Linked DNA regions of Anolis sagrei. The protein of the gene in region 3 interacts with the protein of the main gene of each other region in a pairwise test. Links are inferred from orthologs where the notes say so. Each region holds a gene or a part of one and is shown on either strand. Other genes may lie near its edges. The genes, in order: REL, TRIM54, AIRIM and ZBED1.

Region 1 (6,965 bases), on a different chromosome or scaffold from region 3:
TGTATTGAACTGCTTTTTCTGTCAATTTGTTGTAAAACATAATGTTTTGGTGCTTAATTTGTAAAATCATAGCATAAGTTGATGTTTAATAGGCTTTTCCTTAATCCCTCCTTATTATCCAACATTTTCGCTTATCCAAAGTTCTGCCGGCCCGTTTATGTTGGATAAGCCAGACTCTACTGTAACAACAACAACGACACTATGTAACAAAAGTTGAAAAAGTTTCTGTTCCTGGTTTGAAAGTGTTATTTCCTGTTTCGTTGTGCAGCACTAACTTTGAAAGTAGTTGCTATACTCCAGAAACTTGGTTTTTGTGGCTGCCACAAAGTATGTTGAATTGGTTGAGACTCAATGAAGATACTAATTGAAAAACTAGAGAAAAATGAGCTATTGCAGGATGTCCCTCCCACAAAAACAAACTTTAAGAATCTTTCCCCATCTTTTTATGATAGAACCAATTAGGAAACAATATTGATAACCCAGGAACAAGATATCATGTTGCATATAATAATAATAATAATAATAATAATTATTATTATTATTATTATTGGGTTGTTGTGAGTTTTCTGGGCTGCATGGCCATGTTCCAGAAGCATTCTCTCCTGATGTTTTGCCTGCATCTATGGCAGGCAGATATATATAAACCCCACTTTCCTAGTTTCCATGAGACATCACAACCTCTGAGGGTATATATATGGCAGATATATATAAACCTCACGTTCCTAATTCCAACAGAACTCGCAACCCCTTAGGGTGTGTGTGTGTGTGTGTATGGCAGATACATAAGCCCCACTTTCCTAGTTTCCAATAGACCTCACAACCTCTGAGGATGCCTGCCATAGATGCAGGCAAAATGTCAGGAGAGAATGCTTCTGTAACATAGCCATACAGCCTAGAAAACTCACAACAATCCAGTGATTCCAGCCATGCAAGCCTTCGACAACATACTAGTATTATTATACTACGTAACACATTTTTTGTTCCTGGATTATCAATATCATTTCCGAATTGGTCATTACAGTTAATTGGTTAATAATAGTTATTATTATTATTATTATTGTTGTTGTTGTTGTTGTTATTGGAGCCACAGGTGGCGCAGTGGGTTAAAGCACTGAGCTGCTGAACTTGTTGGCCAAAAGGTCACAGGTTCGAATCCAGGGAGCAGAGTGAGCTCCCGTTGTCAGCCACAGCTTCTGCCAACCTAGCAGTTCACATGCAAATGTGAATAGATCAATAGATACCATTCTGGCAGGAAGGTAACGGCGCTCCATGCAGCCATATCGGCCACATGACCTTGGAGGTGTCTACGGACAATGCCGGCTCTTTGGCTTAGAAATGGGGGTGAGCACCAACCCTCAGAGTCAGATGCAACTGGACTTAATATCATGGAAAAACCTATTATTATTGTATTGTCGAAGGCTATTATTGTATGGCCGGAATCATTGGGTTGTTGTAGGTTTTTCAGGTTGTATAGCCATGTTCTAGAAGCAGTCTCTCCTGACATTTTGCCTGCATCTATGGCAGGCATCCTCAGAGGTTGTGAGGTCTGTTTGAAACTAGGAAAGTTGGGTTTATGTATCTGCCATATATATATCCTCAGAGGTTGTGAGGTCTGTTGGAACTAGGAAAGTGAGGTTTATATATCTGTCATATATATATTCACAGAGGTTATATATTCTCAAGAGGTTGTGAGGTCTGCTGGGAACTAGGAAAGTGGGGTTTATATATCTGCCTGCCATACATGCAGGCAAAACGTCAGGAGAGAATGCTTCTGGAACAAGGCCATACATTCCAGAAAACTCACAACAACCCAATAACAACTATAATTACGTCTTGTTCCTGGGTTATCACTGTTGTTTCCTAATTGGTTCTTTCATAAAAACATGGGGGAAGTTTCTTAAAGTTTGTTTTTGCAAGAGGTGCCATCCTGCCATAGCTCATTTTTCTCTAGTTTTTCAATTAGGGTGCTTGCCATAGATGCAGGCAAAACATCAGGAGATAATGCTTCTAGAACATGGCCGTACAGCCCGAAAAACCTACAACAACCCTATTATTATTATTTGAAACACAACAAGATGAGTCCACAGCAGACACTCTGCTGGCTGTTGTATTGGATCACACGTCGGACGCTTCCCAAGTGTCTAGGACTGTGTGATGTATCGGCAAATAATGTGTGCAGATCCCAGTAAGGTGGCCTTTTGCAGCTGGCAGATGGTAATTTTGTCAGTGCCGATTGTGTTTAAGTGCAGGCCAAGGTCATTAGGCACTGCACCCAGTGTGCCGATCACCACTGGGACCACCTTGACTGGCTTGTGCCAGAGTCTTTGCAGTTCATTATTATTATTATTATTATAACTAGGGAAGTCTAATTTAGAGAAATTAGGGAAGTCTAAAGACCTTTGGAAATTAATCTTCCATGACTCCATAGATCAGGAATGGGCAAACTCTGGTCCTCCAAGTGTTTTGGATTTCAACTCAGTATAGATCAGGCCTGGGCAAAGTTCTGCCCTTCCAGGTGATTTGGACTTCAACTCCCACAATTCCTAACAGCCTACCGGCTGTTAGGAATTGTGGGAGTTGAAGTCCAAACACCTGGAAGGGCAGAAGTTTGCCCAGACCTGCCATAGATAGTGTCACTGTGTTGGGACCTCCAAGAGAGAAGATTCCAACCTGGGAGGACCTTTACCTTTGGATTCCTATGAGTTTGGATGCAGTTCCCTCCACTGGGTAAGACTAGATCTCCCTCCTGCTTACCTGCCATGGTGGCTTGTCCTCCCTGGACCCGGTGGAGAAGGGGAAGAGCTCTTTGCCCGGCTTGGGGTGCCTCTCCTGGGATCCAGCTGGTCCTTCTGAGTGTCTTCCTTCCTGGGCAAGAGTGCCTCCTGGTTGGGGCAGGTTTTGAGGCTCCCTCCTTGGGAGGCGGCGCTGGCTGGAGACCTCCCTCCTCCTCGAAGCCTCCGCCCCGCTCCCCCTACAATCCGGCGGGGAATTTCCACCCTGTGACGTCCTCCTCGTGACGTCTTCTTCGTGGGTCTCCCCTCCCACCTCCCACCACCAAAACCCCGGTGCGCCAAGGAGGAGATAAGGCGCACAGAGAGAGAGAGGCAAGAGAGGAGTAGGAGGGGCTGAGAGAGCGTGACTCCCCGTCACACCAAGCCACACTCCCCTCCAAAAAAAGGGGGGGAGGGCATTCTAACCTTTGAGGGTTTAAGGTCAGGTTTGGGGAGCCCCCTCTTCAAAGGCGCGCCCACCACTCTCCCACCTTCTCAAACTTCACCCAACTTCTTTTCTTTTGGTGCATCTCCACTCGAGAAAGGATTCAGCTCCAGACCACTTGCATTTGCCAGTTGCTTGCTGCTGTGGGAGGCTGGGAGTTATAGTTTTACCATAGTCTTCTTGAGCCTCTCAACAAAGGATTCCCCCAGGCAGTAAGAAACTGCAAGGCCATTGAATGCTAATCAAGGTGGCCAATTGAAACATTCACACCTATCTTCAATAGACAAAGAGTTAGGTTCTTGTGGGGTTTTTTGGGCTATAGGGCCATGTTCTAGAGACATTTCTCCTGACGTTTCACCTGCATCTATGGCAAGCATCCTCAGAGGTAGTGAGGTCTGTTGGAAATAGGACAATGGGTTTATATATCTGTGGAATGGCTGGGGTGGGGCAAAGAGCTCTTCTCTGCTAGAGCTAGGTGTGAATGTTTCAACTGACCACCTTCATTAGCATTTGAAGGCCTGCCTGGGCCTGGGAAAATCTTTCGTTGAGAGGTGTTAAGATGTGCCTGGTTGACAAAGAGTTCTCCCAAATGCCTCACCAAATTGCAACTTCCAGGATTCCATAATAATGCCTCTCAACAAAGGATTCCCCCAGGCAGTAAGAAACTGCAAGGCCATTGAATGCTAATCAAGGTGGCCAATTGAAACATTCACGCCTATCTCCAACAGACAAAGAGTTCTTTCTCCCAAATGCCCCACCAAATTGCAACTTCCAGGATTCTGTAATAATGCCTCTCAACAAAGGATTCCTCCAGGCAGTAAGAAGCCAGACCCTGAAACTGCAAGGCCATTAAATGCTGATCATGGTGGCCAATTGAAACATTCACACCTACCTCCAACAGACAAAGAGTTCCTCCAAATACCTCACCAAACTGCAACTTCCAGTATTCCGTAATAACAGTAAGAGAGCTCATCGCCTCTCAACGAAGGATTCCCCCAGGCAGTAAGAAGCCAGATCTTGAAGCTGCAAGGCCATTAAGTGCTAATTAAGGTAGCCAGTTGAAACATTCAGACCTACCTCCAACAAACAAAGAGTTCTCCCAAATGCCTCACCAAACTGCAACTTCCAGGATTCCGTAATAACACCTCTCAACAAAGGATTCTCCCGGGCAGTAAGAAGCCAGACCTTGAAGCTACAATGCCATTAAGTGCTAATCAAGATGGCCAATTGAAACATTCACACCTACCTCCAACAGACAAGAGTTCTCCAAAATGCCTCGCCAAACTGCAACTTCCAGGGTTCCGTAATAACAATAAGACAGCACATCGCCTCTCAACGAAGGATTCCTCCAGGCTGTAAGAAGCCAGACCCTGAAACTGCAAGGCCATTAAATGCTAATCAAGGTGGCCAGTTGAAATATTCACACCTACCTCCAACAGACAAGAGTTCTTTCTCCCAAATGCCTCACCAAACTGCAACTTCCAGGATTCCATAATAACGCCTCTCAACAAAGGATTCCCCCAGGCAGTAAGAAGCCAGGCCTCGAAGCTGCAAGGCCATTAAATGCTAACCAAGGTGGCCAATTGAAACATTCACACCTACCTCCAACAGAAAAAGAGTTCCCCCAAATACCTCACCAAACTGCAACTTCCAGGATTCCGTAATAACAATAAGAGAGTTCATCACCTCTCAACAAAGGATTCCCCCAGGCAGTAAGAGCCAGACCTTGAAGCTGCAAGGCTATTAAATGATAATCAAGACAGCCAATTGCAACATTCACACCTACCTCAAACAGACAAGAGTTTTTTTTCCCACCCTGGACATCATTCCACAAATATATAAACCCCATTTTCCTAGTTTCCAACAGACCTCACAACCTCTGAGGATGCCTGCCATTGATGCAGGCGAAACATCAGGAGGGAATGCTTCTGGAATTATGGCCATACAGCCCAGAAAATACACAACAACTCATTGATTCCGGCCATGAAAGTCTTTGCCCATAATGCTTAATAAGGCAAAAATTCAATGCCAAAACAAGCTAATAATAATAATAATAACAACAACAACAACAACAATAATATGAGGATTTAAAGATTGAACTGTAACGACACTGGCCCAAGCCAATCAAGGTGTTCCCAGTGGTGATCGCCACACTGGGTGCAGTGCCTAAAGACCTTGGCCAGCACTTGAAGACAATAGGTGCTGACAAAATTACCATCTATCATCTGCAAGAGGCCATCCTACTTGGATCTGAACGCATTATTCGCCTATACATCACACAGTCCTAGACATTTGGGAAGTGTTGGACGTGTGATCAAATACAAAAGCCAACATAGTGATCTTGTTTGCTGTGTACTAATATTGTTATGTATCAAATAATTAATAATAATAATAATAATAATAATAATAATAATAATACTGTATTTATAACACTCCCTATCTCAGAGCGGTTTCCAGCAAAGTAACAAAACGGCAAACATCCAGTGCCGAAAACAAACACAAAGCAAATCAAACAATAGATAAAATAATCTCCACACTAAATGACAAAACAACCAAAAAAATAACCAAAATTTGAACTTAAATAAATACGGGGGTGGGTCAAAATGTTTTGCCTCTTGTGTCAAAAACGTTATAAATGGACATATGGTTCTTCACCCAATGCCGCACATTGCTGATGTCCATTACAGTGTCCTCATAAACATTCTTCAAGCAATTATGGATTTCACAATTTGCCTTTGCCTGAAATTCAAGGGTGACTCTGTCTTTTAGCTTCAGATTCATAGTTCTATTCAGTCAATCGGAAAAAGGAAATATATGGACTACCGCGATGCTCTCTATGTGGGATTGCCTTTAAAGACTGTTCGGAAGCTTCAATTGGTCCAACGGCCAGCAGCCAGATTACTCACTGGTTACGTCGGCTCCACTGGCTGCCAGTTTTGGCTTTAGCCTACAAAGCCCTAAAGCAGGGTTTCTCAACCTTCATAACGCCATGACACTGGAGGGTGGTGCTCATCTCCATTTCTAAGCCAAAGAGCTGGCGTTGTCCATAGACGTCTCCAAGGTCATGTTGATGAGGATTGGAGACTATAAAAGGGCAGTCCGCACCTTGATCGGGGCTCTGGGTTTTACTTTTGGGACATGAGTCCATACCAGAGTCACCAGCTGGAAATAAAGTCGTTCTTTTCTATCTCCAGAAAGGATGTCTCTTGGTAATTATCTCTCCTTTCCTCAAAACCTGTTTCCCTGCCATTTCAATGTCGCCGGCATGACTGCATGGAACGCCATTACTTTCCTGCCGGAGAGGTACCTATTAATCTATTCATAGTTGGGAGTATTAATCTACTCACATTTGCATGTTTTCGAACTGTTAGGTTGCAGGAGCTGAGGCTAACAGCAGGAGCTCACCCCACCCATGGACTTGAACTGCCAACCTTCTGGACAACAAGTTCAGCAGCTCAATTATTTAACCCATTGCACCATCGTGGCCCCTGTCATTAAATATTACATAGAGTAAAAATACAATAAATAAGACAACCTTGAAATAAACTTACAAGACTATTTAAGACTAACCAAAATATAACAAAAATTAAGACGCAGATAAAACGTAACATAACATATCACACTTATGATAAAATAGAGTGAATTAAACCAAGAAGGCACTAAAACATAAGAGTGTTTTACAACATCCAAAGGGCTGAGGTAGCATTTAATAACACAATTTTTGTTCCTGGGTTATCAATGTCATTTCC
Region 2 (6,890 bases), on a different chromosome or scaffold from region 3:
CTATATGGCCATGTTCTTCCAAACTACAGGAAAGGAGATTCCTCCTGAAAATTAGGAAGAACTTCCTGACTGTGAGAGCTGTTCAGCAGTGGAACTCTCTGTCCTGGAGTGTGGTGGAGGGTTTGAAGCAGAGGCTGGATGGCTATCTGTTGGGGGTGCTTTAAATGCAAATTTCCTGCTTCTTGTCAGAATGAGGTTGGACTGGATGGCCCACGAGGTCTCTTCCAACTCTATGATTCTAGCAGCATTTTCTCTTGACATTTTGGCTGCACCTCAGGCCCTTTCCTCAGGCTGTATGGCCATGCTCTAGCAGCATTTTCTCCTGACATTTTGGCTGCACCTCAGGCCCTTTCCTTTTCCCCCTCAGCCGCTTAAGCGGCTGAGGGGGAAAAGGAAGGGGCCTGAGGTGCAGCCAAAATGTCAGGAGAAAATGCTGCTAGAGCATGGCCATACAGCCCAGCAGCCGGACCCCTGGACGCTGCAGGACGTGAGGGGAAAAGCAAGGAGGCCATTGTGTCCTGACAGAGGAAAGGGGGAGGGGTAAAGTGACCCCCCCCCCCTCCATTCACCTGGAAAGAATCCTCTGGCTATTTATTGTTGTCTCTCTCCTGCTGCCCGGCCTTTTTCGGTGCTGCGGTCACTTTGGCGGCTGGTGCTATTTTGGAATGAAGGAAGCCATGCTGGCCAGCCCCCCCCCCCAAAAAAAATTCACATTGGTCAACAAAGCCCACGTCTGCGTTTCTGGCAGTGCTCAGGACCCCCTGCATTTCATGCCAAGAGTTTCTCAACCTGGGGGTGTCAGAGGGGTCACCAAAGACCATCAGAAAACACAGTATTTTCTGTTGGTCATGGGGGTTCTGTGTGGGAAGTTTGGTCCAATTCTATCATTTGTGAGGTTCAGAATGCTTTTTGATTGTAGGTGAACTATAAATCCCAGCAACTACAACTCCCAAATGGCAATGTCTATTTTCCCCAAACTCCGGCAGTGTTCACATTTGGACATATTGAGTATTCGTGCCAAGTTTGGTCCAGATCCATCACTGTTTGAGTCCACAGTGCTCTCTGGATGTAGGTGAACTACAACTCCCAAACTCAAGGTCAGTGCCAACCAAACTCTTCCAGGATTTTCTGTTTGGTCATGGGAGTTCTGTCTACCAAGTTTGGTTCAATTCCATTGCTGGTGGAGTTCAGAATGCTCTGTGATTGTAGGTGAACTATAAATCCCAGCAATTACAACTCCCAAATGTCAAGGTCTATTTTCCCCAAACTCCACCAGTGCTCACATTTGGGCATATTGAGTATTCGTGCCAAGTTTGGTCCAGATCCATCACTGTTTGAGTCCACAGTGCTCTCTGGATGTAGGTGAACTACAACTCCAAAACCAAAGGACACTGCCCACCAAACTCTTCCAGTATTTTCAGTTGGTCATGGGGGTTCTGTGTGCCAAGTTTGGTTCAATTCCATCATTGATGGAGTTCAGAATGCTCTTTGATTGTAGGTGAACTATAAATCCCAGCAACTACAACTCCGAAATGACAAAATCAATTTTTTGAGTGAAGGACATACATTGGGTTATTAGGTGTCTTGTGTCTAAATTTGATGTCAATTCGTCCAGTGGTTTTTGAGTTCTGTTAATCCCACAAACGAACATTACATTAAAGCCCAACTGCTCATTGGAGGGAAGGATAGTAGAGGCCAAGATGGCCTCATCATGAGAAGAAAGGAAAGCTTGGAGAAGACAATGATGCTGGGGAAAATGGAAAGAAAAGGGAAGAGCGGCCGACCAAGAGCAAGGTGGAGGGATGGCATCCCTGAAGTGACTGGATTGACCTTGAAGGAGCTGGGGGTGGTGACGGCTGACAGGGAGCTCTGGCATGGGGTGGTCCATGAAGTCAGCTACAGAAGGCAATGATGCTGGGGAAAATGGAAGGAAAAAGGAAGAGGGGCCGACCAAGGGCACAGTGGGTGGATGGCGTCCTTGAAGGGACAGGATTGACCTTGAAGGAGCTGGGGGTGGTGACGGCCGACAGGGAGCTCTGGCATGGGGTGGTCCATGAGGTCACCTAGAGAAGACAATGATGCTGGGGAAAATGGAAGGAAAAAGGAAGAGGGGCCAACCAAGGGCAAGATGGATGGATGGATGGCATCCTTGACGGGACTGGCTTGACCTTGAAGGGGCTGGGGTGGTGACGGCCGACAGGGAGCTCTGGCATGGGCTGGTCCAGGAGGTCACCTAGAGAAGACAATGATGTTTGGGAAAATGGAAGGAAAAAGGAAGAGGGGCCAACCAAGGGCACGGTGGGTGGATGGCGTCCTTGAAGTGACTGGATTGACCTTGAAGGAGCTGGGGGTGGTGACGGCCGACAGGGAGCTCTGGCGTGGGCTGGTCCAGGAGGTCACGAAGAGTCGGAGACGACTGAACGAATGAACAACAACAATCACCACCACCAGCATCCATCCCCAGGAGCAGAATTCAAAGGGATCTCCAGATGTTGGGCCAAAATTAACACCGTGAAGTTCAACAGGGACACACGCAAGAGACTCCACGTAAGCAGAAAAAAGGAAACGCAAAGAGACAGAATGGAGGACGATGATGCAGTGCGTGGGGAAAGATCTGGGAGTCCTCGAGAGGAAGGAGAACATGAGCCAGATGTTGTAGGTCTTCTGAATGAGCACAGACTACATTGTCATCAGCATATTGGAATTCTGTAACAGATGTTGTAGGTCTTCTTCTGAAGGTGCACAGACAACGTTATCATCAGCATATTGGAGTTCTATAACAGATGTTGTATATCTTCTGAATGCACACAGTCTACATTTTCATCAGCATATTGGAAGTCTGTAACAGATGTTGTAGGTCTTCTTCTTCTCGAGTTATGCTCATTTTTTTTGGAAGTATTGACACACCAAGCTCAAAAGGTTGCCCATCATTGTTGTAGGTCTTCTTCTGAATGCGCACAGACTACATTGTCATCAGCATATTGGAAGTCTGTAACATATGTTGTAGGTCTTCCGAATGAGCACAGTCTACATTTTCATCAGCATATTGCAGTTCTATAACAGATGTTGTAGGTCTTCTTCTGAATGCGCACAGACTACATTGTCATCAGCATATTGGAATTCTGTAACAGATTTTGTAGGTCTTCTGAATGCGCACAGACTACATTATCATCAGCATATTGGAGTTCTATAAAAGATGTTGTATATCTTCTGAATGCACACAGTCTACATTTTCATCAGCATATTGGAATTCTATAACAGATGTTGTAGGTCTTCTTCTGAATAAGCATAGACTGCATTGTCATCAGCATATTGGAGTTCTATAACAGATGTTGTATATCTTCTGAATGCACACAGTCTACATTTTCATCAGCATATTGGAATTCTGTAGCAGATGATGTAGGTCTTCTTCCGAATGAGCACAGACAACATTGTCATCAGCATATTGGAATTCTGTAACAGATGTTGTATATCTTCTGAATGAGGACAGTCTACATTGTCATCAGCATATTGGAATTCTGTAACAGATGTTGTATATCTTCTGAATGAGGACAGTCTACATTGTCATCAGCATATTGGAATTCTGTAACAGATGTTGTAGGTCTTCTTCTGAATGCGCAGAGACAACGTTGTCATCAGCATATTGGAGTTCTAAAACTCTTGGACTAAAAACTCCTCCTCTGGACTATGAATCTATTAGAGTTAGTGCTGTGTGCCAGAGGCGGGAAGGGGGTTCAGTGAGGTCTCCCCCTCTGGGGTGTTTCCAGCAGAGGCTGGATGTCCATCTGTTGGGGGTGCTTTGACTGTGCTTTTCCTGCATGGCAGAGGGTTGGCCTAGATCCCCATGAGGAGAGGCCTAGGATTCCATGGCCCTATTAATAGAAAGCACATGTTGATGATTATGATGATTGGTGGGTGGGGGTCTGCACCAGAGGGGTGTCGTCGTCACGCTCCCCTTGAGGCGAGTGACTCAGCGCCACCTGATGCCGCCGACAGCTGGACCCTCGGTGCCCCACCCTTCCTGGATGACCTCGAGCAGGAATGGGAGCCTGGCATGCCTTGGGGGTCACGTGGGAGGCTAAAAATACCCCCCAGAGAAGGGCCAGAGGAGAAGAAGGAGAGTGGAGGGAGACCCTTCTCGTCCTCCTTCTCGTCCTTCTGCTTCTGCTTTGGGATGAACTTCCCGGGGGGCTTCAAGTCCTTGACCGGGGGGAGCCCCTCGGGCCAGAGCATGGACAGCCTGGAGAAGCAGCTCATCTGCCCCATCTGCCTGGAGATGTTCTCCAAGCCTGTGGTCATCTTGCCCTGCCAGCACAACCTCTGCCGAAAGTGCGCCAACGACGTCTTCCAGGTGCGGTCAAGGGGTCAGTGGTCAAGGGAACACCCCCCAAATGTTTAGGGTCTTAACTGGGTTTAAGGCAGGCCTGGGCCAACTTCGGCCCTCCCTCCAGGTGTTTTGGACTCCAACTCCCACCATTCCTAACAGCCTACCGGCTGTTAGGAATGGTGGGAGTTGGAGTCCAAAACACCTGGAGGGAAGGCCGAAGTTGGCCCAGACCTGCCTTAAGGCTTTTCCTTGTTCAATGTATTGTCGAAGGCTTTCATGGCTGGAATCACTGGGTTGTTGTAGGTTTTTCTGGGCTATATGGCCATGTTCTGGAGGCAATTTTTCTCCTGACGTTTTGCCTGCATCTATGGCAAGCATCCTCAGAGGTAGTGAGGTCTGTTGGAACTAGGAAAATAGGTTTATATATCTGTGGAATAATGTCCAGGGTGGGACAAAGGACTCTTGTCTGCTGGAGCTAGGTGGGAATGTTTCAGCTGATCACCTTGATTTGCATTCAATGGCTTGGAAGCGCCTGGGGGGAACCTTTTGTTGAGAGTGATTTTATGTGCCTGGTTGTTTCTCGTGGCTTGACTCTCATGGCTTCTTCTCGGTGGTCTTGCAGCTCTTCTGATGTCTGTGGTGGAGTATGCTGCACCTCTCAACAGGAGATTTCCCAGGCTCAGGCAGGCCTTCAAATGCTAATGAAGCAGAGAGGAAACAACCAGGCACAGCTTAACACCTCTCAGCAGGAGATTTTTCCCAGGCTCAGGCTCATTAGCATTTCACCTTCAAATGCTAATGAAGGTGAAACATTCACACCTAGCTCTAGCAAGGAAGAGCTCCTTGCCCCACCCCAGCCATTCCACAGATATATAAACCCATTGTCCTATTTCCAACAGACCTCACTCCCTCTGAGGATGCTTGCCATAGATGCAGGCGAAACGTCAGGAGAGAATGCCTCTAGAACATGGCCATATAGCCCGAAAAAACCTACAAGAACCTTGTGATTCCGGCCATGAAAGCCTTCGACAATACAATGAAGATGATGATGAGGATGATGATGATGATGACCCCGCCCTCCCCTGAATCGACGCCCTCCACCTTTATCTGGCCTATTTATTATTTTTTGAAACACAACAAGACGAGTACACAGTAAACAAGATCACTTTGCTGGTCTCTGTATGCAAGGCACACAGAGGCTATTTAACATTCCAGCTTTTTCATGATGGTATTCTGGCCACCAGGGGAGCTGTTGCTTCACCGTCCATTTGTGACACTGATGGAGTACTTCCTCATTCTTTGCATGCTTGCTGGAGATTTTTATGGAGTCGTAAATTAGTTAAGTTAGCCTCCCCGCACAATCTGAGGATGCTTGCCAAAGATGCAGGCGAAACATTAAATCCAGTCGTGCCTGACTCTGGGACTCTGGTGCTCATCTCCATTTCTAAGCTGAAGAGCCGACGTTGTCTGCAGACACCTCCAAAGCCACTGGCAGGACTGCCCTTACCTTCTCGCCAGAGCGGTACCTATTGTTCGACTCACATTTGTATGTTTTCAAATTGCTAGGCTGGCAGAAGCTGGGGCTAACAGTGGGAGCTCACCCCAGCCCCCAGATTCAAAGCTGTGACCTTTCGATCAGCATGTTCAGCAGCTCAGCGGTTTAACCGTCTGCACCACAAGGGGGGATCCCTTCTATGATTCTATGGTTCATCAAAGCCCAGGCAAACTCTATGAAAAGACCCTCACTGACTGACTTTCCCAACTTCCTGGCTGCTCAGTGCTATTCAGGCTGGCTAATTGCAACATCCACGCTTGCTTCTTTCTCTTGCCATGAACATCATTCCACAAATAGATATACACCCCACTTGCCTCACTTCCAACAAACTTTTGAAGATGCCATGAGCCACAGGTGCAGGCGAAACATCAGGAGAGAATCCTATTGTTACATATGGTGTGATCCATAATACCCCCAAGCACAGCAGTTTCTGGCGTGGAGAGGGAGTCCCCTAAGCAGAGGCCAGGTGGATGGCCGTCTGTTGGGGGGGATCGGGTGGTGTCACCTTTGAAGATGCCATGAGCCACAGGTGCAGGTGAAACATCAGGAGAGCATCCTATTGTTACATATCGTGCGATCCATAATACCCCCAAGCACAGCAGTTCCTGGCGTGGAGAGGGAGTCCCCTAAGCAGAGGCCAGGTGGATGGCCGTCTGTTGGGATGGTTCGGGTGGTGTCACCTTTGAAGATGCCATGAGCCACAGGTGCAGGTGAAACATCAGGAGAGCATCCTATTGTTACATATTGTGCGATCCATAATACCCCCAAGCACAGCAGTTCCTGGCATGGAGAGGGATTCCCCTAAGCAGAGGCCAGGTGGATGGCCGTCTGTTGGGGGGGATCAGGTGGTGTCCCTTCCAAGGCTAGGGCTCTAGTCAAGGGGCAGCTCAGCAACCCTCTTGGTCCGCCTGTCTTGCCAAGGAGCACCTTGTTTAGAACCCTAGTGTTACACTAGCCTTGCAAGGGACTCCACCCGATCCCTCCCGACAGAGGGCCAGCCCCTTTTCC
Region 3 (6,980 bases):
GGACAAATGCAAGATAATCCACTTAGGCAGAACAACTGAAATGCCATGATACAGAATGGGAGATGCCTGATTCTACAGCAGTACATGTAAACAAGATCTTGGAGTCCTCATGGGGAGGAAGGTGAACATGAGCTAACAATGTGATGCGGCGGCAAAGAAACCCAATTGAATTTTGGCCTTCATAAATAGGTGTATACTATCTAGATCCAGGGAAGTCATGCTACCCAACTATTCTGCCTTGGTCAGATCACACCTGGAATCACACTGTGTCAAATTCTGGACACTGTAATTGAAGGGAGATGTCTGGAAAACAAGCCCTATGAGGAGTGGCTTAAAGAGCTGAGCTTGTTTAGCCTGCAGAACACAAGGCTGAGAGGAGACATGATGAAGGGCATGTATAAACATGTGAAGGGAAGTCATAGGAGGGACCAGGCTTGTTTTCTGCTGCCCTGGAAACTAGGACATGGAACAATGGCTTCAAACTACAGGAAAGGAGACTCCACCTGAACATTAGGAAGAACTTCCTAATGGAGAGAGCTGTTCAGTGGAACTCTGCCCTGGAGTGTGATGGAGGCTCCTTCATTGGAGGCTTTGAAACAGGCTGGATGGCCATCTGTCAGGGGGGCTTTAAATGCAATTTTCCTGCTTCTTGGCAGGGAGTTGGACTGGATGGTCCATGAGGTTTCTTCCATGATTCTAGGTGATGAGCACTAGGGTCCCTGAGCCCCCCCTCCCCAGGAGGGAGAGACAGACAGAAAGAAAGAAAGAAAAGAAAAGAAAAGAAAAGAAAAGAAAAGAAAAGAAAAGAAGGGCTGGCCAGGAGTTACTGGTGCCAGGCTCTTGCCCTCTGCCTGGGCCTTGCTGCCAAAGGCCTGTCTTGTTTGGCGTGTTAAGCTCAATCTATGAGTGATGGGAGTTCTCTAAATATCCTAGTGATCTGTTAGTACCGGATTCGAACAGAAATCACAGGCAAGGACGGCAGAAGTTTCTTTCCACATTCAAGAAGTCTTTTATCTTCCAACAATGCATACATGCAAAGCTTTGTATAAAACCAAGTCCTCTCACTTTCTCCCCTCAGCAATCTTCACAGCAGTTCTCTCACGTAGATCTCTCTTATTTTGGAAAACCAGAATCTCCCTGGTTTTCCAACCATTTTAAAAATAACCTTTTGTAAAATTATGATCTTCCAGAGAAGAACAAAAAAATGTATCATTTGAGTAAAATCTTCTCTTGTGTGGGATATAACCACATGTACTTATGCAAAGCATTTTGGTTGTTAGGCTGATAACCTGGTTTTCTTTTATCTGTTAGGAACAGAAGCAACGCCAATGCGTAAAATATAGCCATTCTTCAGAAGTATTTTTTTCAGTGCCTAAAAACATCTACTCTCCCATAAAACATCTTGTTTCGATATCATTCTCTGAAGAGACAAAAATAAAGTGGACTTTGTTAAAAGTAACATTTGGTTTACTCACAACCTTCATGTATTCAGTATATAGGTACATAACTTGTCAAGTTATAGATAGGTTTGAAGTAGTTACTCTGTGCAGATAACACAGGGCATCTTTCTTACAATCAACAACATGAGTTGTCTCTTAACAGTCCAAAGTCAAGCAGGTAAGAGGTAGTCTTAACAGTCTGAGAGTGTAATGGAGTCTGAGGTCTGAGCAGTCTCAGAACTGATCATGTGGTCCCACAACCTCAAGAAACAGAGTAAAGGGAAAGCTGCATACCAAAACATACATATACAACACAGTAAGCAAATGGAAACCTATACAAACAAATTACTAGTGGAGGCTTGAAGGTTATTTCCAACGTCTTTGTAACATTCAGCAACACCAGCATAAACACTCATCCACAGTCATCATGCTAGCTGCCCCACTGTTATCCTAGATCTGGCCAATCACATATTGTATTGCATCATACATGGTGTCCCAACAGTGCACCGTGGTTGCACCAGACATTAGGCATTGCACACTGGTTTCATCATCCTCGGAAACTTGTCATTCTGACTCTGCAGTTAGCTCCTGAGGGTTTTGTGTGTGTGTGTTTGTGTGTGTGTCAGGAGTGAATAGAGAAACTGCAAGTCGCTTCTGGTGTGAGAGAATTGGCCGTCTGCAAGGTCATTGCCCAGGGGATGTCCGAATGTTTGATGCTTTACCATCCTTGTGGAAGGCTTCTCTCATGTCCCGCATGGGGAGCTGGAGCTGACAGAGGGAGCCCAACCTGCTCTCCCCAGATTCGAACCTCTGACCTATTGGTCAGCAGTCCTGCCAGTACAAGGGTTTAACCCATTGCGTCACCTGAGCTCTTTCTTTCTGAGTATGATGACATAGGGTTGCTGTGAGCTTTCCAGGCTGTATGGCCATGTTCCAGATGCATTCTCTCCTAACGTTTCACCCACATCTACGGCAGACATCCTCAGAGGTCATGATGTCAGTTGGAAACTAGACAAGCGAGATTTATAGATCTGTGGAATGCCCAGGGTGGGAGAAAGAACTCTTGTCTGCTTGAGGCAAGTGTGAATTTTATTGCCATTGGCCACCTTGATTAGCATTGAATGGCCTTGCAGCTTCAAAGCCTGGCTGGTTGCTGCCTGGGGATCCTTTGTTGGGAGGTGTTAGCTGGCCCTGATTGATTCTTATCTGGAATTCCTCTGTTTTTTTGAGTGTTGCTCTTCATTTACTGTCCTGATTTTAGAGTTTTTTAAATACTGGTAGCCAGACTTTGTTTATTTTCATGGTTTCCTCCTTTCTGTTGAAATTGTCCACATGCTTGTGAATTTCAACTCAAAATACATATTAATTTTATTTATTTATTTGCGACATTTATATGCCACCCTTCTCACCCCGAAGGGGACTCAGAGCGGCTTACACATTATTTGTACATATAATATATTATATTATTAGCATAGCACATTATTAGTATTATGTATTTCCATATTGTACTATACAACTACATTTATTTATTTATTTCTCGCACTTCTACCCCGCCCTTCTCAACCCCCGAGGGGGGACTCAGGGCGGCTTACAAAAAGGCACAATTCGATGCCGGCACAACAACAAGGTAAAAAATAAAACATAAACAGTAATTAAAACAATTAAAACAATCCATTATACATCACAATCCCTAAAAACAATCTAGTGCTCAACGTTTACCAGCTCATAGTCCATAAATTCAAATTCCACATTGTCCAATCCAGCAATTCTAGTTGTTGCTTGCCCCTTATCTATCCGCCAGATAACCCGAAGGCCTGGTCCCAAATCCATGTTTTTAATTTCCTTCTAAAGACGAGGAGGGATGTCAATGACCTAATTTTTCCGGGGAGTGAGTTTCACAGGTGAGGGGCCACCACCGAGAAGGCCCTGCTCCTCATCCCCACCAATTTCTCTTGTGATAGAGGTGGGGCCGAGAGCAGCACCTCCCCAGAAGATCTTAAACTCCGAGGCGGGACGTAGAAGGAGAGGCGTTCGGACAGATACGCTGGGCCGGAACCATATAGGGTTTTGTAGGTCAAAACCAGCACTTTGAATTGTGCTCGGAATTGGATCAACATTGTAATATCATTAGTAATATTACATGTTATATATATATATGTAATTATTAAATTTAATTATTAGTATTATATTATATTATAATATTATCAATATTATATGTGTATACAATATATTAGCACAGCACAATATCAGTATTATATATTACTATATTGTACTATACCACTATACTGTAAAATTATTAGTAATATTACTTGTAATATAAATATATAATTATTATATTGCATTATTATTAGTATTATGTTGCATTACATTATAATATTATCAATATTATATGTGTATAATATACTTTATTTTCATTTCAAATCCTGACCTGTCTTCCCAGTGGGACTCTGCAGGTGCCCAGCTTGGCCCAGGTAAGGGCAGGGGATGCTTAGAAGTGCACTATCTGGCTTCCTCAGGCCTGCCTTTCCATTGGACTTGAAGGCTCTTTCCACAAATGGGACAACGCTGACATTCCCACTTGTCTTCTCACATTTGCAGCCTAGGATGCTCCATGAAATGGGATTGGCTGATTTTTATTTTTTTGCAAAGGTGTTCAAATCTGGTTCAGGAAGCTGCAGGGAGAGACAAGAGAATACAGCTTTCCTGCCCTTTGCCTGAATGGAAGAACAATGTTGGATCCAAGCTTTTGAAGTTCAAGCAATGTGGATTCTTTATGAGCCTGGCCACAGAGAGAAGGGAGTCCCCGCCTGCAGATGCCTGTGACGTCACTCCAGGGCAAGCCACGCCCATCGGAGGAGGCGGGAGGGCGGTGGGACTCCATTTCCCGTCAGGCCCCGGGGCGGCTAGAGGAAGGGAAGAAGGCGGAAGGCAGGTGAGTTAGTCAAGGGAGCCTATCTAGGCACATTATTTGCTTTGAAATTGATTATAAGGCAATGTAGCCCAGGTATGGGTAAACTTGGGCCCTCCAGGTGTTTTGGACTCCAACTCCCACCATTCCCAACAGCCTCAGGCCCCTTACTTTTCCCTCTCAGTTCTTCAAATGTTTTGGACTCCAACTCCCACCATTCCCAACAGCCTCAGGCCCCTTCCTTTCCCCCCTCAGCTCTTCAAGTGTTTTGGACTCCAACTCCCACCATTCCCAACAGCCTCAGGCCCCTTACTTTTCCCTCTCAGTTCTTCAAATGTTTTGGACTCCAACTCCCACCATTCCCAACAGCCTCAGGCCCCTTCCTTTCCCCCCTCAGCTCTTCAAGTGTTTTGGACTCCAACTCCCACCATTCCCAACAGCCTCAGGCCCCTTACTTTTCCCTCTCAGTTCTTCAAATGTTTTGGACTCCAACTCCCACCATTCCCAACAGCCTCAGGCCCCTTCGTTTCCCCCCTCAGCTCTTCAAGTGTTTTGGACTCCAACTCCCACCATTCCCAACAGCCTCAGGCCCCTTACTTTCTCCTCTCAGCTCTTCAAGTGTTTTGGACTCCAACTCCCACCATTCCCAACAGCCTCAGGCCCCTTCCTTTCCCCCCTCAGCTCTTCAAGTGTTTTGGACTCCAACTCCCACCATTCCCAACAGCCTCAGGCCCATTACTTTCCCCTCTCAGCTCTTCAAGTGTTTTGGACTCCAACTCCCACCATTCCCAACAGCCTCAGGCTCCTTCCTTTCCCCCCTCAGCTCTTCAAGTGTTTTGGGCTCCAACTCCCACCATTCCCAACAGCCTCAGGCCCCTTACTTTCCCCTCTCAGCTCTTCAAGTGTTTTGGACTCCAACTCCCACCATTCCCAACAGCCTCAGGCCCCTTACTTTCCCCTCTCAGCTCTTCAAGTGTTTTGGACTCCAACTCCCACCATTCCCAACAGCCTCAGGCCCCTTCCTTTCCCCCCTCAGCTCTTCAAGTGTTTTGGACTCCAACTCCCACCATTCCCAACAGCCTCAGGCCCCTTACTTTCCCCTCTCAGCTCTTCAAGTGTTTTGGACTCCAACTCCCACCATTCCCAACAGCCTCAGGCCCCTTCCTTTCCCCCCTCAGCTCTTCAAGTGTTTTGGACTTCAACTCCCACCATTCCTAACAGCCTCAGGTTCTTTCCTTAAGTGGCTGGGGGGGAAAGGGGCCTGAGGCTGTTAGGAATGGTGGGAGTTGGAGTCCAAAACACCAAGGGCCCAAGTTTACCCATACCTGGTCTACACTGCCTTATAATCCAATTTAAAGCAAATAATTGGATTTTATATGGCAGTGTAGAAGGGGCCTCTGCTGTACTTTTCCAATAAAGATGTAATAAAAATTGAAATATTGTCTATTTCTGCTTCAAAAGTGGTATTTCCTGTTTCATTATGCGATCATTATTTTCAAAGGAGTTCTACTCCAGAAACATCATTTTTGTGGCTGCCAGGACTTTAAGATCGTCCGGGGAGGCCCTGCTCTCCATCCCGCCTGCGTCACAAACACGTTTGGTGGGGACGAGAGACAGGGCCTTCTCAGTGGTGGCCCCTCGGCTATAGAACGCCCTTCTTGGGACATTAGATCGGCCCCCTCTCTCTTAACATTTTGGAAAAGTGTCCAGACTTGGTTGTTTGAGCAAGCATTTGAAAATGCAAGGTAAAAGACATAAGAATTAGAATGACTGGACGACGAGATTGGACAGTGATTTTATTAGGAGACGCAAATGATCTATGTTTTTAATACTCTTGTTATAGTTTTATATTATGTGTTAATGTTTTTAAATGTTTTATGGTGTTTTGTGCATTGAATTGTTGCCACTGTAAACCTCCCTGAGTTGCCTGAGGGTTGAGAAGGGCGGTATACGAATACAGCAAATAAATAAATAAATAGGTTGAAATTGGTTGAGACTCTTATGATGAGATAGTCACTGAAAAACTGAAAATTGTGTTACATAGTGTCCTAATTTGGTTTACAGTAGAGTCTCGCTTATCCAGTCTTCGCTTATCCAACATTCTGTATTATCCAACGCAGTCTGCCTCCCGCCCGGAATAATGTCCAGGGTGGGAGAAAAAAAGAACCCTTGTCTGTTTGGGTACTAAATTTGTAAATACAGTAATTACTGCATAATGTTACTCTGTATTGAACTGCTTTTTCTGTTGATTTGTTGTAAAACATGATGTTTTGGTGCATCATTTGTAAAATCATAATGTAATTTGACATTTAATAGACTTTTCCTTAATCCCTCCTTATTATCCAACATTTTCGCTTATCCAACGTTTTGCCAGCCCATTTATGTTGGATAAGCAAGACTCTACTGTATTATCTGTCTCTCCTTTTAATCCAAGGCGGGGCACAACACAGGCAGATCTATCAAATCCCATATTGAAACATAGTTAAAATGCAGCTACAAAAGCATATATTAAAACATAAAAGGTAAAGGTTTCCCCTTGACATTAAATCTAGTCGAGTCCAACTCTGGAGCATGGTGCTTATCTTCATTTCTAAGCCGAAGAGCTGGCGTTGTCTGTAGACATCTCCTAGGTC
Region 4 (7,554 bases), on a different chromosome or scaffold from region 3:
CAGATCCTGGAATATAGAGCCTGTCTAGAAGGTCCCTAAGTAGCCATGTAGTCCCTAAGTAGCCATTCAGTTTCCTGTAGGATTTGATATATTGGGACCAGGCTAGATTATTTGTTAAGCTTTTCCTATCTTGTTCTTGTTGTGCAACTTTGACCAGAACCACAGTTACACAGACAATGCAACCACTGCCTTGTTGTTCCTATGTAACTTCAAGTCATTTCCAACTTATGGTGACTCTGCTTTTGCCTATCTCTGAGTTTTAGAGTTACCAAAAATCAACCCACAGATTTCTATGAGTAAACTCAGGTCTTCAGTGCCATAATTCTAGCATTCAAATTACTACACTGGCTCTTTATTATTCCTATGAGATTAATACAATTTCTTCCAACCAAGTGTCTGATTCTATTCCAATTCCTTAGTAACTGAGTGTAGATGTTTACCTTGAACTTCTCACCAACTCCAAAAGATTATGTCTTACATTTATTTTCCAATTCCCTCCAAGGGACTGAAAACAGCATATATTCTTTCTTCACACACCCCATCTCCACCCAACCTAATATTAAAGCACTGGAGTGGAAAGCTTCAATTTCAGCTTTCCATATTAAGCGGAGGAGTACAGTGATATCCTTGCTTTTGCAAAAAGCAATCTTTCACCAGGTTACAACTCTTGCCTATTTTACTTCTGGCAAATGTCTTGGAAGCTAATAGCATGGAAACCACAATCTGTCACTAATACCTGCTATTTAAAAACTTATTACACACACACACAATCAAACAATCAATGTCCACGAATGCAATTGACAGACTTTTCAATGATGTCAAAGGTGAAAGTGCATACAGTGGGTCCTTGGTATCTGCTGGCGTTCCAAGAACCCTTGTGGATACAAAAATCCATAGAAGCTCATTATATATAATCGTGTATTAAAATATTGTCCCTTATATGCAACAGCAAAATCACAATTTGATTTTTGGATTTTTTTTTTTAAAAAAAAATCTGTGGATGGTTCAATTGCGGATGCAGAATCTATGGATATAGAGGGCCAACTATATATAGGTATGGTTAGCGACAAACATGGAGCCCCTGGTGGCACAATGGGTTAAACCCTTGTGTCAGCAGGACAGAAGACCAACAGGTTAGAGGTTCAAATCTGGGGAGAACTCTCTCTGTTAGCTCCAGCTCCCTATGTGGGGACATGAGAAAAGCCTCCCACAAGGATGGTAAAACATCAAAACATCCAGGTGTCTCCTGGGCAACGTCCTTGCAGGCAGCCAATTCTTTCACACCAGAAGTGACTTGGAGTTTCTCAAGTTGCTCCTGACATGAAAAAAGTGACAAACATAGATAGCATTTTCTTTAGAGTAATAAGGCCTAGTGAGATTACTGGATCACTCTTCAATAGACAGGTACCCAAGGGAACCAAAGTAGTATCAGGATTTGAATGCTAGAGCAGGACACCAGGAGACCAAAGCTCAACCATGGAAACCTATAGGGTGACCTTAGGTAAGTCATACTCTTTCAACCTCAAAGGAAAGCAATGCCCTGCAAAGCAAAAGAAAAACCTATAATAGGGTCACCATAAGCCAGTCTGCTTGAAGGCATGTGATAACCCAGCATGGTATAGTGCTGAGCCTTCCAAATGGTGTGTCGTGACACATTGGAATGTTGGCTGTAGCGTGTAGGTGTGTAAAGTGAATGAAACAAGAAAGGTGAGTCCATGTGAAATAATCAATAAATCATATATATATATGAGCAAGATTTTCATGATAAGTCATGTCCCCATACATTTCATTATTATAATTTATGTACGTGTTCCGATCTCTTGGTTTAACCCAGGCATGGGCACACTTCGGCCTTCCAGGTGTTTTGGACTTCAACACCCACAATTCAGAACAGCTGGTGCTGAAGTTTGCCCATGCTTGGGTTAACCTCTGGTTTGCTAGTAAAACTGAAGCACTGTGTCGCAAAGCGATGCATGTAGTGCGTCACCAACATAATATCGGAAAGCTCTGGTGCAGTTGTTTGAATATTGAACTAAGGTTGTAACTCCCTCCTCAGTCATGGAAACCCACTAGGTGCCCTTAGGCAAGTCACATGCTCTTAACCTCAGAGGAAAACATGGGCAAATCCCCAAGAACAAGCTCCCATCTATGACCTCTGAGGAAGCTTGCCATAGATGCAGGCGAAACGTCAGGAGAAATGCCTCTAGAACATGGCCATATAGCCCGAAAAAACCCACAAGAACTGAGTGATTCCGGCCATGAAAGCCTTCGACAATACAAGCTCCCATCTGCTTAGTTTTTCCATTGGTCAAAAATGACTTGGAGGCACACAAACAGCAATAACCATGGCAGTTACAAGAAACTTGGATGTAGCTTGAAAACTTTTTGTTTTGCTACATTCACTGTATGTCCACCAAGCTACAACTGAAGTGTAAGCTAGGGGCAGCAGACTGGCAAATGCAACAACCTCAGGGGACCGATAGAGGTTGCGGTTGTATCCCAGGGTTGAAAATCGGTGGCTACAAACAGCCAGCGAAGGCACTGCAACTGAAGAGTCCCAGGGCCCTTCCACACAGCCCTATATCCCAGAATATCAAGGCAGGAAATCCCACATTATCTGAGGGTGAACTGCCTTGGTATTCTGGGATATAGGGCTGTGTGGAAGGGCCCCCAGTAACCAGGAGCCAGAGCCTTGGGCAGGAGCTTGGAGCCCTTTGGCCTCGCCTGGCTCCTGCCACAAGATCTAGGCAGGAAGAGGGAAGCGGATCCCCTCCATTTGCGAGGAGGAGTGTCCTCTGTCCTCTCCCTCCGAGCGCAAATGCTCAACTTTGGCTCCCAACGGTGGAAGGACGCGTGGGGAGGGGAAGAAAGCGAAGCCAGCGAGGCTTCCCTCTCCTAAGCCAAGGCCTCTCCCTCCCAGCCTCTCCGGGGGAGCCTCCTAACCTGCTTTGGAAGGGCAGCCCAGGCGGAAGCGGCGCAAGATCTGGTGCAGGACGAGGCGCGTCGCGGTCCAGTAGAGCCAGAAGGCAGGCAAGGCCAGGGACAATAGCGACATGGCTCCCGCTGCTGCTTTGCTTCGCCTCTTCCGTGCTGCAGAAGGGAAAGGAGCCCAGAGGCACGACGAGGAGGAGGAGGAGGCGGCGCGAGGACGGCACGCCTCCGGGGCTTCAGAGCGCGCGCCTGGCAGCCCTGGCCTCGCCGCGCCCAGAGGAAGCAAAGCAAGGCAAGGCAAGGCAAAGAGGACCGCGCCTCTCCTCCTCCTCCTCCTCGGAGCGACCGGGATTTCCCTGCTATCTGGGCATGTGCAGACTCTGTGCGCAATCTCCTCCCCTCCCACGGAAGACGCACAGAAAAGGGAAGTAAAGCAGAAGATGTGCAGCGACAGAGTTCGATTTTTGGCACAGCAGCAGCTCTAATTATGCACCAGCTTCTGCTTGAAATCATGTGTTTGTTTATTGAAACACCTACAGGCAGTCCCCGAGTTACAAACATCCGACATCCAAACAGCTCAGCGTTAATAAGGGGCGAGACAACAGGAAGGGAGAGAAATCTACCCCCAGGGAGGGAAATTCACTCCTCAAAGAGTTATCGGGGGGAAAGGGGGCCTCGGCTGAAGCTTGCTCACCGATCCTTGTTTCAGAAGCCTTTTTTTTTCTAAATCCAATTATCACAGGGACAGAAAGTGAGGTGAAATCTTCTGAACAGGCGCACACACAACAAAAAAAAAACCCCACAGGGGTGTTAACACTTCCCTATGAACACCACAGGCGTGTTAACTCTTCCATCTATCTAGGGATGGATTTCCCCTCCCCCCCTCCCCCCCCCCCGAGGGTGTGTATTTATGTCTCTGTGTGTATAAAAGCATGTATGTCTCTGTGTGTATAAAAGCAAGCTTTGGATTGCATAGGAAAGGATTAACACCCCTGTGGGTGGGTGTATGTAAGTTTTGGATAGCATAAGGAAAGGTTAACACCCTTGTGATGTTTGTGTGTGCATTTATATACGTGTATGTATGAATATATATGTATGTGTGTAGCTTTGGATAGCATAGGAAAGGGTTAACACCCCTATGGTGTGTGTGTATAAGCTTTGGATAGCATAAGGAAGGGTTAACATCCTTGAGATGTTTGTGTGTGTGTGTGTGTGTGTGTATAAGCTTTGGATAGCATAGGAAAGGGTTAACACCCGTGTGGGGTGTGTGTGTAAGTTTTGGATAGCATAAGGAAAGGTTAACAGGGTTTAGTAAAAAGGCATGCCAAACTTAGGGTACACCTACACTACACATCAATTCATTCATGCAGTGTGTACCACTTTAACTGTTTCGAAATTCTGGGATTTACAAGTGGGTGAAACACCAACTCTGGCAGAGAACGCTAAAGACCTTGCGAAACTACAACTTTCTTGATACCATAGCATTGAGCCATAGCAGTTGCAGTGGTGTCAAACTGCATTCATTCTACACTGTAGATGCACCTGTAAGCACCAGAAAGAAACTGACACTTCTACTGGTGCATAATTGGAGCTACTGCATAAAAACTCTGCCACTGTGCTAATTTCTGCATTACTGATTTTGTGTGATTATAAAATAATAATAATTTATTTCTACCCCGCCACCATCTCCCCAACGGGGAGTCAGGGCGGCTAACATGAAGCCAAGCCCAGCCATTACAACAAATCAAAATAAAATACATACAGCAAATAATAACATCAAATGAAATATAAACAAAGCAAATTAATACAAAACCAAATACAGGAAATGAAATAAAATAATAATGTGCACAGAGGGCTGGGCCAAGTTAAAAAGATAGAATTAAAATATAAAAAACCCTGGGTGAGATGGATGAGTAGGGTAGTATGCCTAGTTAGCGGGGCGGGGGGGGGGGGGGTTCAGGTGAGAGCAGCAATGGGGTGATTATCATTGAAGGGTGAGGTAAAGTGCATCACAGGGAATATTGTGCTGAGCTGGTCATGGTGTAGGTTGTATTCATTCCTCTAAGGCACACTAAACAGCCAGGTTTTTAGGTTTGAAAGGAGATCAGTTAACAGGAGGTCACAGCCATCACAATGCATTCCCAAGTGTATTGGACATCAATTTTGGCTGCTTTGGCCAATGATCAGGGATTCTGGGAGCTGAAGTCCAAAACACTGTAAAGCCATATTTGGGGAGAATGGTTTTACAGACACAGATTTCCCATTCAAGTGAGAGAGGTGTACTTATTCATGTCTAGTCAGAAGTGTCCTATTTGAGGAGAAGGGAGCTCATTGCTATGTGATTGGGCAATGCATTGTTAGTCTTTACATAGAAAGAATTTGGGTTTTTTAAAAATTAGTTAACATTAAAAATAAAGAAGTAGAGAATTAAATGTTGACCATCACACTACTAAGGAGGGAAACAAAGAAAGCAGATGACAAGTGATGACCACAAATGTATAGCCACTCCATGGGTTTAATAGGCAAAGAATACATAAGAGGTGACTTGTCCAGAGTGAATGTATCATTGTTTGTCTCTTCATATGTGTTGAGAGAGAGAGAATATATATATATATATGTATGTATGTTATAACAATGGTGGTCTAAGGCCCAAATTAAGCATCTCACATTTTCAATCAAACTTACTCAAAGCAGGAAAGGATTTTATTAATTCCTAGAAGTCTGGCTGAGCCAATGGTTATGGGTGCATATACATACTGTGTTTTATAAATCTGTGCGGGGGGGGGGGGGGATGATAGGAATAATTGGAGGGGTGTAACAATGCCCACGTGCCACAAACATTGCAAGTTTATGGAAATTCAAACCTCAAAAGCCCACAGTCCTCACTTTCGGGTTTTGTGAGGTGTACGTTAAAAATACATCAGTTGCCCAGTCTTGATATAAATGAACTCACTAGCTGCTATAATTGGTAAACAGTTATAAGAAACAATAACTGTTTACCTAACTGTTTCATTTCTCCTCTTTGCTGAAAATTCCTATTTAAAGAAAGCAGTTATGAATGTGCAAATATATCAAATGTGCAGCGAGATCTCACTGAGAAGGTAAGCCTGTTGGCTCTCACACATTTTTTTTGTTTTGCAAACATCACTCCAGCCTAGGATGTTTTTGGAAGGCTGTTTGAGCAAACAGTAAATGTCAGCTATGAGCTAAAGGGGCCTGGAAGGCCGGTACAAGCTACTAGCACCTGATTTTCTAAAAGGTCATGAACTGCTACCTGTCTTCCCTTCCAATTGATTATGTCTTAATGCAGCTATACAAAGGATAGAAGGCCATACACATGCAAATCTGAAATATACTGCAATTCTGAAGCATCATGATTAAGTAATACCATATTTTCCTGTGAAGCACAGCTTTTCCATCCTTTCCAATCGGATGTCTTCCTGATGTGTTTAATCACAGTTTCCACCATCTAATCACCCAAAAAGCCAGGGTGTATGAGGATGCTGAGAGCTGCTAATTGTGCAAGCTATGTGTACCTACTCTGGGTAGGTTTGCACATCTATAAGAAGCAAGTACATAGCTTGGGAGAGCTCCGTCACTAGAGGTTACATGGCTGTGGTGCCCAGAATTGGACACATTATGTCAGGTGAGGCCTGGCCAAAGCAGAATAGATGGGCACAATTGCTTTCCTTGATCTAGACCAGGCATAGGCAAACTTGGCCCCTTTGGGTGTTTTGGATTTCAACTCCCATAATTCCTAACAGCTGGAGTTGAGTCCAAAACACCCAGAGGGCCCAAGTTTGCTCATGCCTGATCTAGACATGATACTTATTTTCATGCAACCCCAAATCCCACTGTCTTATTAAATTGCTGCATCACACTGTTTCCACATATTCAACTTGTTGTCCCCAAAGACTCCAAAATCTTTTTCACTGGTATTGTTATTCAGCCAGGCATCAGCCCATCCTGTATTAGTGCATTTCATTGTTTTCTGCCAACGTGTAGAATTCTACATTTATTCTTGCTAAAATTCATTTTTGTTAGTTTTGTCCCAGCTCTCTAATCTCTTAAGGTCATTTTGAATTCTGATCCTGTCCTCTGCAATATTTGGTATCCCTCCTAATTTGGTGTAATCTGGAAACTTGACAAGCATGCCCCCTAAAGCATTTCTATGGAAGACCCCAGGGGCCATTCAGTCCAACTTCCTTCTGCCATGGAGGGAAAACATAACAAAGCACCTCCTGAGCGGTGGGAGGGAAATAGTGCTTGGAAGAGAACAAGACAAAGGGAGGGAGACAAGGGAAATGGGCTTTTGGGGGCAAGGGAAGCAAGGAAAAAAACTTTTTGGCAAAAGGGGGCTGAGGGGAAATGGTGATGAGGGAATTCAGAAACAGCCATGTCAGTCTGGAATAGCCATATGCAAAATGATCTTGTAACAACTTAAAGTTTGAGGTAATGAAGTTGGTAGAATAAGCTTAATGATTCTAAGGTGCTACAAGATCCCTTTGAATACTTAGGCCCCTTCTACAATGCCATATAATCCAGTTCAAAGCAGAGAATCTGGATTTTATATGGCAGTGTAGATGGAGCCTAAGAGAGTTCGTACACCGCATCATTCACTGT

Evidence for each region.
Region 1: the proteins of AIRIM (region 3) and REL interact in binary tests that used the Homo sapiens proteins (3 or more experiments, as listed by UniProt). The two-hybrid records come from large-scale screens. The link is inferred for Anolis sagrei from reciprocal best matches to the Homo sapiens genes AIRIM and REL.
Region 2: the proteins of AIRIM (region 3) and TRIM54 interact in binary tests that used the Homo sapiens proteins (3 or more experiments, as listed by UniProt). The two-hybrid records come from large-scale screens. The link is inferred for Anolis sagrei from reciprocal best matches to the Homo sapiens genes AIRIM and TRIM54.
Region 4: the proteins of AIRIM (region 3) and ZBED1 interact in binary tests that used the Homo sapiens proteins (3 or more experiments, as listed by UniProt). The two-hybrid records come from large-scale screens. The link is inferred for Anolis sagrei from reciprocal best matches to the Homo sapiens genes AIRIM and ZBED1.

The regions. Positions count from the first base shown.
Region 1 is NC_090021.1:12,673,171-12,680,135, forward strand, and holds the start of REL (proto-oncogene c-Rel), read right to left. Parts: upstream 3,011-6,965; 5' UTR 2,762-3,010; coding exon 2,755-2,761; intron 1-2,754. UniProt on the Homo sapiens protein: Proto-oncogene that may play a role in differentiation and lymphopoiesis.
Region 2 is NC_090021.1:828,764-835,653, reverse strand, and holds the start of TRIM54 (tripartite motif-containing protein 54), read left to right. Parts: upstream 1-3,886; 5' UTR 3,887-3,889; coding exon 3,890-4,351; intron 4,352-6,890. UniProt on the Homo sapiens protein: May bind and stabilize microtubules during myotubes formation.
Region 3 is NC_090034.1:86,340,258-86,347,237, reverse strand, and holds the start of AIRIM (AFG2-interacting ribosome maturation factor), read left to right. Parts: upstream 1-3,955; 5' UTR 3,956-4,252; coding exon 4,253-4,371; intron 4,372-6,980. UniProt on the Homo sapiens protein: Part of the 55LCC heterohexameric ATPase complex which is chromatin-associated and promotes replisome proteostasis to maintain replication fork progression and genome stability.
Region 4 is NC_090023.1:98,069,335-98,076,888, reverse strand, and holds the start of ZBED1 (E3 SUMO-protein ligase ZBED1), read right to left. Parts: upstream 3,025-7,554; 5' UTR 2,944-3,024; intron 1-2,943.